Linked DNA regions of Danio rerio. The protein of the gene in region 2 interacts with the protein of the main gene of each other region in a pairwise test. Links are inferred from orthologs where the notes say so. Each region holds a gene or a part of one and is shown on either strand. Other genes may lie near its edges.

What was found.
Region 1: the proteins of nudt18 (region 2) and nadkb interact in a two-hybrid assay, tested with the Homo sapiens proteins (2 studies listed by BioGRID and IntAct). The two-hybrid records come from large-scale screens. The link is inferred for Danio rerio from reciprocal best matches to the Homo sapiens genes NUDT18 and NADK.
Region 3: the proteins of nudt18 (region 2) and dhps interact in binary tests that used the Homo sapiens proteins (3 or more experiments, as listed by UniProt). The two-hybrid records come from large-scale screens. The link is inferred for Danio rerio from reciprocal best matches to the Homo sapiens genes NUDT18 and DHPS.

The regions. Positions count from the first base shown.
Region 1 is NC_133177.1:40,241,324-40,244,790, reverse strand, and holds the end of nadkb (NAD kinase b), read left to right. Parts: intron 1-1,920; coding exon 1,921-2,080; 3' UTR 2,081-2,834; downstream 2,835-3,467.
Region 2 is NC_133183.1:55,665,275-55,669,701, reverse strand, and holds the start of nudt18 (8-oxo-dGDP phosphatase NUDT18), read right to left. Parts: upstream 2,930-4,427; 5' UTR 2,878-2,929; intron 529-2,877; 5' UTR 519-528; coding exon 366-518; intron 1-365. UniProt on the Homo sapiens protein: Mediates the hydrolysis of oxidized nucleoside diphosphate derivatives. Hydrolyzes 8-oxo-7,8-dihydroguanine (8-oxo-Gua)-containing deoxyribo- and ribonucleoside diphosphates to the monophosphates. Hydrolyzes 8-oxo-dGDP and 8-oxo-GDP with the same efficiencies.
Region 3 is NC_133178.1:11,965,840-11,969,502, reverse strand, and holds part of dhps (deoxyhypusine synthase), read left to right. Parts: coding exon 1-48; intron 49-1,881; coding exon 1,882-2,003; intron 2,004-2,154; coding exon 2,155-2,251; intron 2,252-3,464; coding exon 3,465-3,551; intron 3,552-3,619; coding exon 3,620-3,663. UniProt on the Homo sapiens protein: Catalyzes the NAD-dependent oxidative cleavage of spermidine and the subsequent transfer of the butylamine moiety of spermidine to the epsilon-amino group of a critical lysine residue of the eIF-5A precursor protein to form the intermediate deoxyhypusine residue.

The sequences.
Region 1 (3,467 bases), on a different chromosome or scaffold from region 2:
CAAGGTGTGTGACATCACTTTGAAGTTAGCAATTTTGAAAGATTTATATCAGCTTGTTTTTCAAGGGCATTTGCAGATTAATCAGATCATTTAAAGTCTGACTAGTAATTTCCCTCTTTTACCCACATTAACAAGAGCTAGGAGCACCACAAGGAAGTATCCTGTCACTGCTATTTTTAGTGACTCGGCGACATTGCGAAAGCCACTGGAAAGAATGTCATTATAGAGACTAATACAAAGAACCTGAACAGGAAACTCAACAGCCGTTAAACAGGGAAGACAAAAACAGAATTTTTTTGTGCAATAATTAGCATCTACCTCTGCCTTTTGGGTACAGAACTTTTTTTGGATGCAGAATGTTTCGTCCACAATGTGAGGAGAAAACTTGCAAACATACCGTACAGCATTTCAGAGTCACACTGCTAGTGATAAAAGATTTCTGTAATTTAGGAAGCTGAACGCTTTCTGTAGTGTACAGGAGACACGGCACAGAGCAGATTGATTGACAATGGTCTACAGCCAATCGCAGAACACAAACCGATGTCAAACTACACAAAAAAATCAGTGAAACTGAGAGACTGCGAAAAGTAAACGTAATGGCAAGGGTCGAGACCACTGTATGTTTGCAATCTATGAACTCTCCAACCTGATTCAGAGAGAATTTTGCAGGGACAAAAAAAAGTTCTTATTTCTCACATAAACTGAAAATATCAATGGGCTGGGACCATTTATATTGTACAAAGTTTTTAGACATTTTAGGTTAAAACATATTTACGAATCCAAATCGCAAATAAATAGCCAGATTTCCTTAACTTAGCCATCTTCATCTTGAAGAATCCCCCATTCCCTGACTTCTCCCCCCTTTATTTTTCTAGCATAATACTAGGGAGTTCTCAAGACTTACCTGAGCTCAGGCTCACCTCTCCCCGTATGAAACCAGAGGGAGCCCCAAGCTTGAACATCTTCTGACCTCAGGGCTCTTTCCTGAGACAGCATGCTAAAGCCATGGCTATTTTAAAAGTTTTTAGACATTTTAGGTTAAACCATCTCTTTGTAATAAGATGATGTGGGATTTCGTAATAATATTATCGTAATAATATTTTCCTAATATACTTAACCACGCCCCTCCATCTGTCAGTACCTCAGACAGACGTGATGTGAGAATTGAATTGAAAACACACAGGATGCACATTTTCAGGTTTTTCCAGGGCAAATATTTACTTATTTTTCTTAATGACACACACAGATGAATTGTTTGTCACAAAACTAGCAATGTGAGCTAACAAAACCAATATGGTTAGTTTTGATTTCAGGTGCTCTTTAAAACAGTCACCCTGCATTTGTTTTATTTGACAAAATTCTGAAACTAGAGGCTTATTTTAGATCTATTAACAATTTATCTTAAAAGCAGATGTCAATCAGAGGAGCTGACAAACTATATATACTACAAACAAACTCCATTCAGTGAGCCTAAATGTCTGGAAAAACCAGTTTTCAAAGCAATAGAGCTGGATTGTTTAACTCGATGATACTAAATAGTCCATTTCATGTTGGCACAAGTTTTGACGTACCATGAATCAGTCTTTACTCTGTGGCGTGTTCAGTTAATAAAAGTGGAAGTTTGTTTCTCCACTGAGCTTTGATGCTCTTCAATTTTATAGTGAAATGTGTGGCAAAAATATCAGATGGGTTTACATTAGGGAGAAATGATGGTTTCCCATTCATTTCCAACATGAGCAACACTCAGATAATCTATTTTCCTCCTATTATTTAACTGTTTTGAATTGTCGATTGTTTAAATGGGAATGATATCTCTAGCTCTGCCTTCTATTTGTTGTTCTGATTATGGTCTTTGGCGTGAATGAGTTGTAACTCTCTGTGGAATCTCTTCATCGTCATAGTTTGTTTTTCTTTCCACAGCATTAAGATCACAACCTCCTGCTTTCCAGTCCCCTCCATATGCTGTCATGATCTGGTTTACGACTGGTTTGACAGTCTGGCTCAGTGTTTGCACTGGAACGTCCGCAAAAAGCAAACACGTCTAACAGACGCCAGCGACTCCTCCGAAACTGAAAACTGAAGCATCACCATCAAACGCTCGCAGGCTGTTCAATTCACATTCCAGGAGTTTCTTTGCCTTAGAAATAATGCTTTAGTCAGAGGTTAGCCTGGATTGCTCATCATTTGATTGCAACAGGACGTTTTGTTTGGTTAAGTGTATGTGAAAGTGTCATTGTGTTAGAACAGGCAGAGATGATTCTGTTTTAACTAATACATTAAATGAGCAAGGTTTATTTAACATCATATTGTTTTCTGCACATTCAGCACTTCTAAATTGTTGCTTGAGAAACGCATTAATGGATTAGAAATGAACGGGAATTAACTTTTCCTATGAATGTCAGTTGAATAAATTTGACCACAAGCACACAGAAAGCTTTGTGTGTGTGGTCTGTTATGACAGTAGTTCCTCATTTCATGTAAAAAACACGACATGTTAAGTCAGGCGGGAGTCTGTCAACACCGAGCAGTTGTGGAAGCGCTCTGTAGCCCCCCTGTGGCCATACCGGATGTTGCTGCACGTAACGCATTTTTAAAACCCCTATTCGTTAACTTTACCATTTAAGTTGGTTTTTATCCAATTGATTAATTTTACAGATGCTCCGTATTTTGCATTTCTTATCAAATAGTCCAAGTCCTGCAAAGTCATATCAGCCACAATCTAATATAGCTGAATGTATCTGGTAAGCTGTTTACCTTTTGATGTAAATAAGAGATCCTATAAAAATGTATTTGTCTTGTTTGTATTATTTCAATAAAAGTAATGTTGGATGTTGTTTCGTTTTTGTCACTTGAAAACATTTCAGGGACTCTTTATTAAACTAATGTTCTCATGTAAAAAAGAAAACCAATCCTGTGTCATTTACACCAGGTATGAATATTACTGTGGAAACCGCCCTGATGAATCAAATCCTAGAACCGCCGCTGTTCATAAAACCACTTTATCCTCTATTTTGACAGCAAAGGCATAGTTTGGGCTTTTTAGGTTATAATTTAGATTTATTTACAATTGTTAATTTTACATTTTGACATCTTGTAATTTAACTGTCTTTTTCTGACTTTACAACCCATAACTATTCATTTATCTATTTCATTAATCTCATTAGTTTAACTTTATTTTGTTAATTTTACAACCCATAATTTAAAAAATCTTGACTGTCAATTTTGACATTATCTCATAATTTTGTCTGACTATTTGTGTATGACTATTTGTCTTGATTTTTTACTTCACAACTCAGTTTCACATTTTTTGACTCAATTTTTCCATTACTGATTTCTGTTCTTCAACTGTACTAATAATTGTAAATTTAACTGTCTATTTTGACATTTTATCATGATTCTGACTTTTTTTTTTAACTTTACAACTCATAATTTTAAGTTTTATGATGTTGACACGTCTCGTAATTTTG
Region 2 (4,427 bases):
CCTCAAAACCCATTGAAATTTTAAGAATATTAGGTTTTCTTGTGGATTATATATGAACAGGACACAAATACTGTATGTGCATCCCAAAACATTCCTGAATGAGAATTGCATTAATCTTTTGTTCATTTTTGTTCATTATTAATCTATTTTCAAACCTAACTTGGTTTGAAATATCTTTCAATATTTAGATCATGGTCACATGACCAGTATGTAAATAAAGTACTGAGAATAATTCTTGAACACTGGCATACTGTAAATTAAGCCACATTGACTGTGCTGCCTTCAGTTTCATTCCTTGCTACCAAACAGTCTTGTTCCAGTAAATAGACAACACTCACATGCAAGAACAACAACACCATCTTTACCTTTGAATTGAAAATGACTGCGCCGACAATATAACACACGTTCTTCCTCAGTGTGACTGGGTCCACTTGTTCAGCGACTGAATCAAACTCGAGACCCTCACCCCTCAAAATCTTCTCCAAGTTCTCCTCCAGAATCGATGACTGCGAGTCCATGGCGGAGCTGCTTTAATTTGACAACAGAATGGAATTAATATCATCGTCAAATAAAGAGGCTGCCAAGAAGAGTCAGTTTTATTACAGTAAAAATACACTAGCCGGCCACTTTATTAAGTACACCTGTCAAAACTGCTGGTTAATGCAAATTTCTAATCAGCCGATCACATGGCAGCAACTCACTGCACTTAGGCATGTAGACATGGTCAAGACGATCTGCTGCAGCTCAAACCGAGCATCAGAATGAGGAAGAAAGCTGATTTAAGTGACTTTGAATGTGGCATGGTTGTTTATGCCAGACGGGCTGGTCTGAGTATTTCAGAAACTGCTGATTTACTGGGATTTTCACACACAACCATCTCTAGAGTTTACAAAGAATGGTCCGAAAAAGAGAAAAAGTCCAGTGAGCGGCAGTTCTGGGACGCAAATGCCTTGTTTACATCAGCAGTCAGAGGAGAATGGCCAGACTTGTTCCAGCTGATAGAAAGGCAACAGTTTAGTTTATTTATTTATTTAGTTTATTTATTTATATAGCACATTTTGTACAACACAACGTTGCCCAAAGTGCTGAACACAATCAATACTAAAAATAAAATCTACATCACACACATAGCAATTAAAACATAAGGCAAACCCCTCAACATTAAAAAGGCTCAAATACTAGAGAACAAAGATGGCGTTTCAAATGCTTTTTAAAAACAGGTAGAGTTGGAGCATGTCTGATGTGGGAAGGAAGCCCGTTCCAGAGTTTTGGGGCGACAACAGCAAAAGCCCGATCCCCACTCCGCTTACACCGGGACCTTGGTATAGATAGAATAAATTCATCAGAAGACCTCAGTTACCTACCAGGATTGTATACATGTAGCAGGTCTAATAAGTAAGATGGTGCCAGATCAATCCGTGACCTAACAGGCAGCCAGCCCAGAAAGGAAAGAACTGGGGATATGTGTGCAAACTTGCGAGTCCCTGTCAGAAGTCTCGCAGCCGCATTTTGTACTAATTGCAATCTATTTAGGGCATTTTGACTAATACCCACATACAGGGAATTGCAATAGTCAAGTCTTCCCAAAATAAAAGCATGGATCACCTCCTCAAGGTCATTAAAAATTAAAAGAAACGACTTTACTTTTGCCACAAGTCGTAAATGGAAAAAACTGGATTTAACAATTGTATTTAATTGCTTGTTAAATTTCAGATCATTGTCGAATTGAAATCCTAGGTTTCTAACAACAGGTTTTTGATAAGTGGAAAGCTCACCAAAACCTGATAAATGCAGAGGGATAGGATCGCCAAACCCGACCAGCTCAGTTTTGAAAAGTAACTCAAATAACCACTCGTTACAACAGAGGTATGCAGAAAAGCATCTCTGAACGCACAACACGTCCAACCTTGAGGCGAATGGGCTACAGCAGCAGAAGACCACACCAGGTGCCACTCCAGTCAGCTGAGAACAGGAAACTGAGGCTACAATTCGCACAGGCTCACCAAAATGGGACAATAGAAGATTGGAAAAATGTTGCCTGGTCTGATGAGTCTTGATTTCTGCTGCGTTATTCTGATGGTAGGGTCAGAATTTTGCTTCAACAACATGAAGGCATGGAGTTCTATACTATACTTATGGCAGGATAACGCACCATGCCATAAAGCGTGAATCACCTCAGACTGGTCTCTTGAACATGACAATATGTTCACTGTACTCAAATGGCCTCCACAGTCATTAGATCTCAATCCACTAGAGCACCTTTGGGATGTGGTGGCACAGGAGATTCACATCATGGATGTGCAGCTGACAAATCTGCAGCAACTGCATGATGCTATCATGTCAATATGGAGCAAAATCTCGGAGGAATATTTCTAATATAAATCTATGCCACGAAGGATTATAGCAGTTCACAAGGGCATCCAACCTGGTAGCCAACTAGTAAGGTGTACCTAATAAAGTGGCCGGTGAGTGTGTGTGTCTGTAGTTAAATCCTTGTAAAAACAAATCAATGCAATGCTATAGATTAACCACAACATTTGTAGTAACATTGTGGTAGTTAAATAAAAAAATGGTGGGTTATGCAACAAGAAATAATTGTTATTATATTTACTACAATTAAACCATGGCAATGTCATGACAAAGTTCCACAGAAGACGTATCTAATTATTTAATCTATTTATGAGTGTAACGTACAGCACAATGCCCCCCCCTACATTTGATTATTACACGACATTAAAGTAACATTGTGTTTGTACGCAAAATGACCTAAAGCAAAATAAATATGACGTAAGGTTACATAGTCTGAGATGACAAAGCATTATTACGAATAACTACTTAATACAACAACATTAAATTAAAACATCAATGTTTACTAACCCAGGTTGTCATAAAACAGACGCATGTAGACTCAAAACATCTCCTTCTTGTCTCGCGATAACACCTCTTTCGCGAGAACACTCATCTAGGGGTCATGTCAAATTCCCTTTTTTTTTTTTTTTTTTTGCAGTCTCGCTTTATTATTTTAGTTTTTTAATGTATTTGCTTCCTTGATGACAAATAATAGATTAATGTTAGTTACCTATAATTAAATAATAGCTTTTACAAAGAGAACAAGCTGTAGTTTAATTTCGTTTGAGGACTAGATAAATGTAGCTGCCAATTTTTAGACTATCCCTTACCTACAAGCTACAATGGCCATGTCCCAATACACAACTCTAGCGATCTTTACACTCGACTACGTCTACTTTCATGACAAACGTCCCATATTTGTTACCCTGTACTATAAAACAAGAAACTATTAAAGGCAGGTTTTGGTAATTAAGATTTATACATCACATTAATGATATCCCGACTTGGTCAGTTGGCATTTCTGTTTGGAGATGCATGTTCTCCCTGAGTGAGGGTTTCCTTAGGGTGCTCGGGTTTCCCCCACAGTCCAAAGACATGCACCGTATAGTATAGTATATATATATATATATATATATATATATATATATATATATATATATATATATATATATATATATATATATATATATATATATAGATATATATAGTGTATGTGTAAGAGTGTATGGGTGTTTACCAGTACTGGGTTGTGGCTGGAAGGGCATATGCTGTGTAAAACATATACTGAATAGGTTGAGGGTTCATTCCGCTGTGGTAACCCCTGGTGAATAAAGGACTGCTGAAATCAAATTAATGAATGAATTAAATCGGAATAACTACACTTTCTATTACCAACTAAGCTTACCAAGCTTACAATAAAATAAAAAATATAGAGAAACTCGCCTTTAAAGTTTTCTAGTGTTTAGCGATGCAAATTTTGTTTACAATGTAATATTTAGAAAATATCCTAATGGTCCTTACTCAATACAATGATTTTGGCATAAGAGAAAATTCAATTCTTTTGACCTACATGCATTTTTGGCTTTTGCCAAAATGATACTTGCACCAGGGTCACATTTGGGGTTTAAGTTAGTTTCAATAGAGCTTTATTAACACATTTAGCTCATTTACACGTTAACATGAACTACTTTTCTATTTTTGAGTTTACAAGAGGTTGAGTTTTTTTCTGGATAAGTTGGCGGTTCATTCCGCCCTGGATTTTTAAAGGGACTAAGGCGAAAAGAAAATTAATGAATAATAATAGTAATAAAAGTCCAAGAGGTAGGCAGAAAAACGTGATAACTATAATATATTCACACTGATTATAATTTCGATATTATTATTAATAATAAAACAACAACAGCTTTAACAATAGTTGAGGAGGTGGAAGTTATAAGATCAGCTTTGAAGTGGAGTGTTTGTCAGTTGCTTTGTGATGCATTAAAAAAGTGTGTCGTGTAGCATGGATCAGTCCAGTGCAATGCCCAGGCTGCCATGCCCACATCACACTTACCCTGTCAATGTAGTACATGTAAGTC
Region 3 (3,663 bases), on a different chromosome or scaffold from region 2:
AGCTCCGGTGTGCGAGAGAGCATCCGATACCTCACACAGCACAAGATGGTACCACTTCCTTTCAAACTATGGCTTGCACTTCAAAAAACAACAACATTTTGAATATTAACAAAAAAAAGCATATTGGGTGGGTGGAAAATAACCAGGCAGTATTTACTAGAACTTGTAGTATGGCAGGAATCATGATGAAAACAAGCAAACAGACATATTTAACATTGATAGTGCATGCGTCGGACACAAAAGACTATTATAAATGGGCTTTACTACACCTTTTTACCATTCTTTTATAGTAAGTAGTATGTTTGGATTTACTTTTGTTATTTTTATGTTATTAATGTTGGGAAAACATTAATCACATGCAAAATAAATGTTTGTTTTGGCAATCTAGACCGTGCATGCGGAAAGTATTCATAGCGCTTCACTTTTTTCCACATTTTTTTATGTTACAGTCTTATTCCAAAATGGAGTAAATTACTTTTACGCAATTTTAATAAATCAGTTTTTAGAAATGAGTTATTAAAACTATTATGTTTAGCAATGTGTTGAAAAAAATATTCTCTCTGTTAAACAGAAAGTGGGGGGGAAATATGCAGAGAGGCTAATAATTCAGGAGTGCTAATAATAAGGGCCCTATCATACACCTGGCGCAATGTGGCACAAGGCGTGGCGCAATACTTGTTTGCTAGTTTCAGCTTGGCGCAAGAGTTGTTTTGAGGCGTTACACTACGCTGTTTAAATAGCAAATGCATTAGCGCTCATTTGTGCGCCCATAGGCGTTCTGGTCTAAAAAGGAAGGCGTTCTGAGGCGGACCGCTGGCGCGTTGCTATTTTGAGAATCTATAATAGATTTTACATTAGACCAAAACAAACCCGGTCTAAACTCCGGCGCAGAGTTGCGCCTCGCTTACACACTGCTTAATACGCACAAGAGAGCAATAGGCAAATATCTTTACATATGAAAAAATTTAAATATTAAGGATATATATAGTATATAATAAGAATAGATATAGGATATGAATATAAAGGATTAAAATAAAACATATTATTTTCTAGCCTACATAAATATGAAAAATCACTGCTTTTATGTCTCTTCATCTCGGGAGGCTTTTTCAGTTCATTCGTAACAATTTGCTTTTGTATAATGTTATTATTATTAGCAGTATTATTTATTATATCCATATTTATATTTGTTTTATTAAAAACAAGCTTAGATTTGCCCACCTGCAGGTTTTAGACCATATGGGGCACAGCATGTGTTTTAGGATATAGCTCAGGTTTTTGAGCACATTTTGCTGTTATTATTGTTCATTTATTCGTTTGCTGGAAATTAGAACTGAATGTAGAAATAGTTTTGAAACGAATCTTTGCGCTTAACAAACTAAATTAATTATTTATAGACTAATTGATGTCTGTGCGTAAAGGTTTTCCTATCCTAGAGCGAAAGTGAAAGTGATCCATTATCTCTCATTCTCACGCAGTAGATGCTCTGTTTAACAGTTTTCTGTTAAAAAAAACTGTTAACTGTTTGCTTGTGAAATGCTCAGTTTTTCCACTTAGACTTACTTTGCGTCCTGTAAATAGCGAATGCGCTCTTGGCGCCACGCAGCTGACTATTAAAGGGAATGGAAGATGAGACTCTAATTGGTTTATTCTCAAAACACACCTATAACTCATTAAGAAAATAAACTCAACCCTTTTAGACTATGCGCCATGGCACAAAACGGATTTTCCCGTCCTTATATTAGCAAAAATGCGTTCTGACACGCCCTGAAAGCATTTGCACCCTGCGTTTTGCGCTCTGCGTTTTGCACTCTGCGCATGGACCGTCAAAATAGAGCCCTAAATGTCTTTGTTATGTAATATTGTGATGTTTTTTTGTAGGTAGATGTGATCGTGACCACAGCAGGAGGGATTGAAGAAGACCTTATTAAATGTTTAGCTCCAACTTTCCTTGGAGAGTTCAGTCTGAAAGGAAAAGAGCTGCGGCAGCAAGGAATTAATAGGTATGTATATATATATATATATATATATATATTTATATATATATATATATATATATATATATATATATATATATATATAAACTTCATTTTTAAACAATTGTAAAGTTTTTAGTGCAATTATTATTGTATATAATGATACTTTGTGTCATAGAATAGGTAATCTCCTGGTGCCGAATGAAAATTACTGTAAATTTGAAGACTGGCTGATGCCGATTCTGGACCAAATGGTGCTGGAGCAAAAAACAGAGGTGAGGAGTTTCATTTATTTAATCCTTTAACTACCCCACCAAGAAAAAAACGTTTGGAGTGCATGTCGCTAGTTAACACACTCAATGCAATTTTCCACAACACATCCCATAATTTCTAAAATATCAGCCTTTACCAAATGGCTGATGTCAGTTTATGGTAAAAGTACTGGAATTAATACATTTACTATGAAAAATCTGAAAATATGAAGTGTACGACCAATTTATTTATAAAAAATATTCAAAAAAAAATTTTTAAACACTAAATCGCCATGTCATAAAATATTTCAGGTCCTCATTTAACAAGTTTTCTTGTTGTTTTTGTTTTGTTTTTATTTACAGTAAAACCAAAATCAAGTGTAGTAATAGTGCAACAGGATTATGTTTGATTTAATTTTTTTATTTTTTGTAAACTAACAATGCTGTGTGCATAAACCATTATTGAAAACAGTAATTCTTTAAATTACTTTAACAGTCATTATTTAAAACGGTAAAAACATGGTCAACCATTTGGTAGAGCGGCAGTCAATATATGTTTGTATAATTAAATATATTGGGTGTGGTAAATATTTTATTTTGGATCAAATAATGTTGGTACAAAAACAGAAGTTAGATGACTGTATTATTATATTAATATTTTATTAAAGCACTATTTATTTGTTGGACTTATTAATGTAAATATTTGAAGAAATACATATTCTTTATTGTGTGGTGTTGTAAAAAAAAATAGAGGTGAGATTATTCTATTTTTATTAAATTGATTTTTACTAATTTCATTTTACTAATATAGCTTTTTTAAAATTAAATTGATCTTTGTGACTAAAATTAAATACATTTAAATTTCTAAATTAATCAAATTAATTAATTTAGTCATTTAAATGTATTTAATTTCTGTCAGTTGGATTGTTTAAATGTAATTGTTTTTCAATACATTTTAATAGTTTATAATTTATTATATAAATGTATATATTATTTGTGTGATTCAGTATTTGTAAACCTGGAGAAAATGGTTAGGAAAGTTTTAAGAAAGAAATTAAGTTAATATTTTATTTAATTATTTTTCACTTGATGTATTCAACAATTCATTTAATTATTTTTATTAATATTTTTAATATTGAATTTGTAAAATTTTGTATTTTATTTGCAACATATTTTAAATTGAATTAAATTAATTACTTTTTCTGTCCAATACTAAATATCGAACGCTTGTCATCAGGGCACACACTGGACACCCTCCAAAATGATCCACAGACTGGGCAAAGAAATCAACAACCCTGACTCGGTCTACTACTGGGCCTACAAGGTAACGCATGAATCAAATACATTCACATCAGTCCTTCCTCAATAACTATTGGATGATCGTTTTTCCAGAATGACATCCCAGTGTTTAGTCCCGCCCTCACTGATGGCTCATT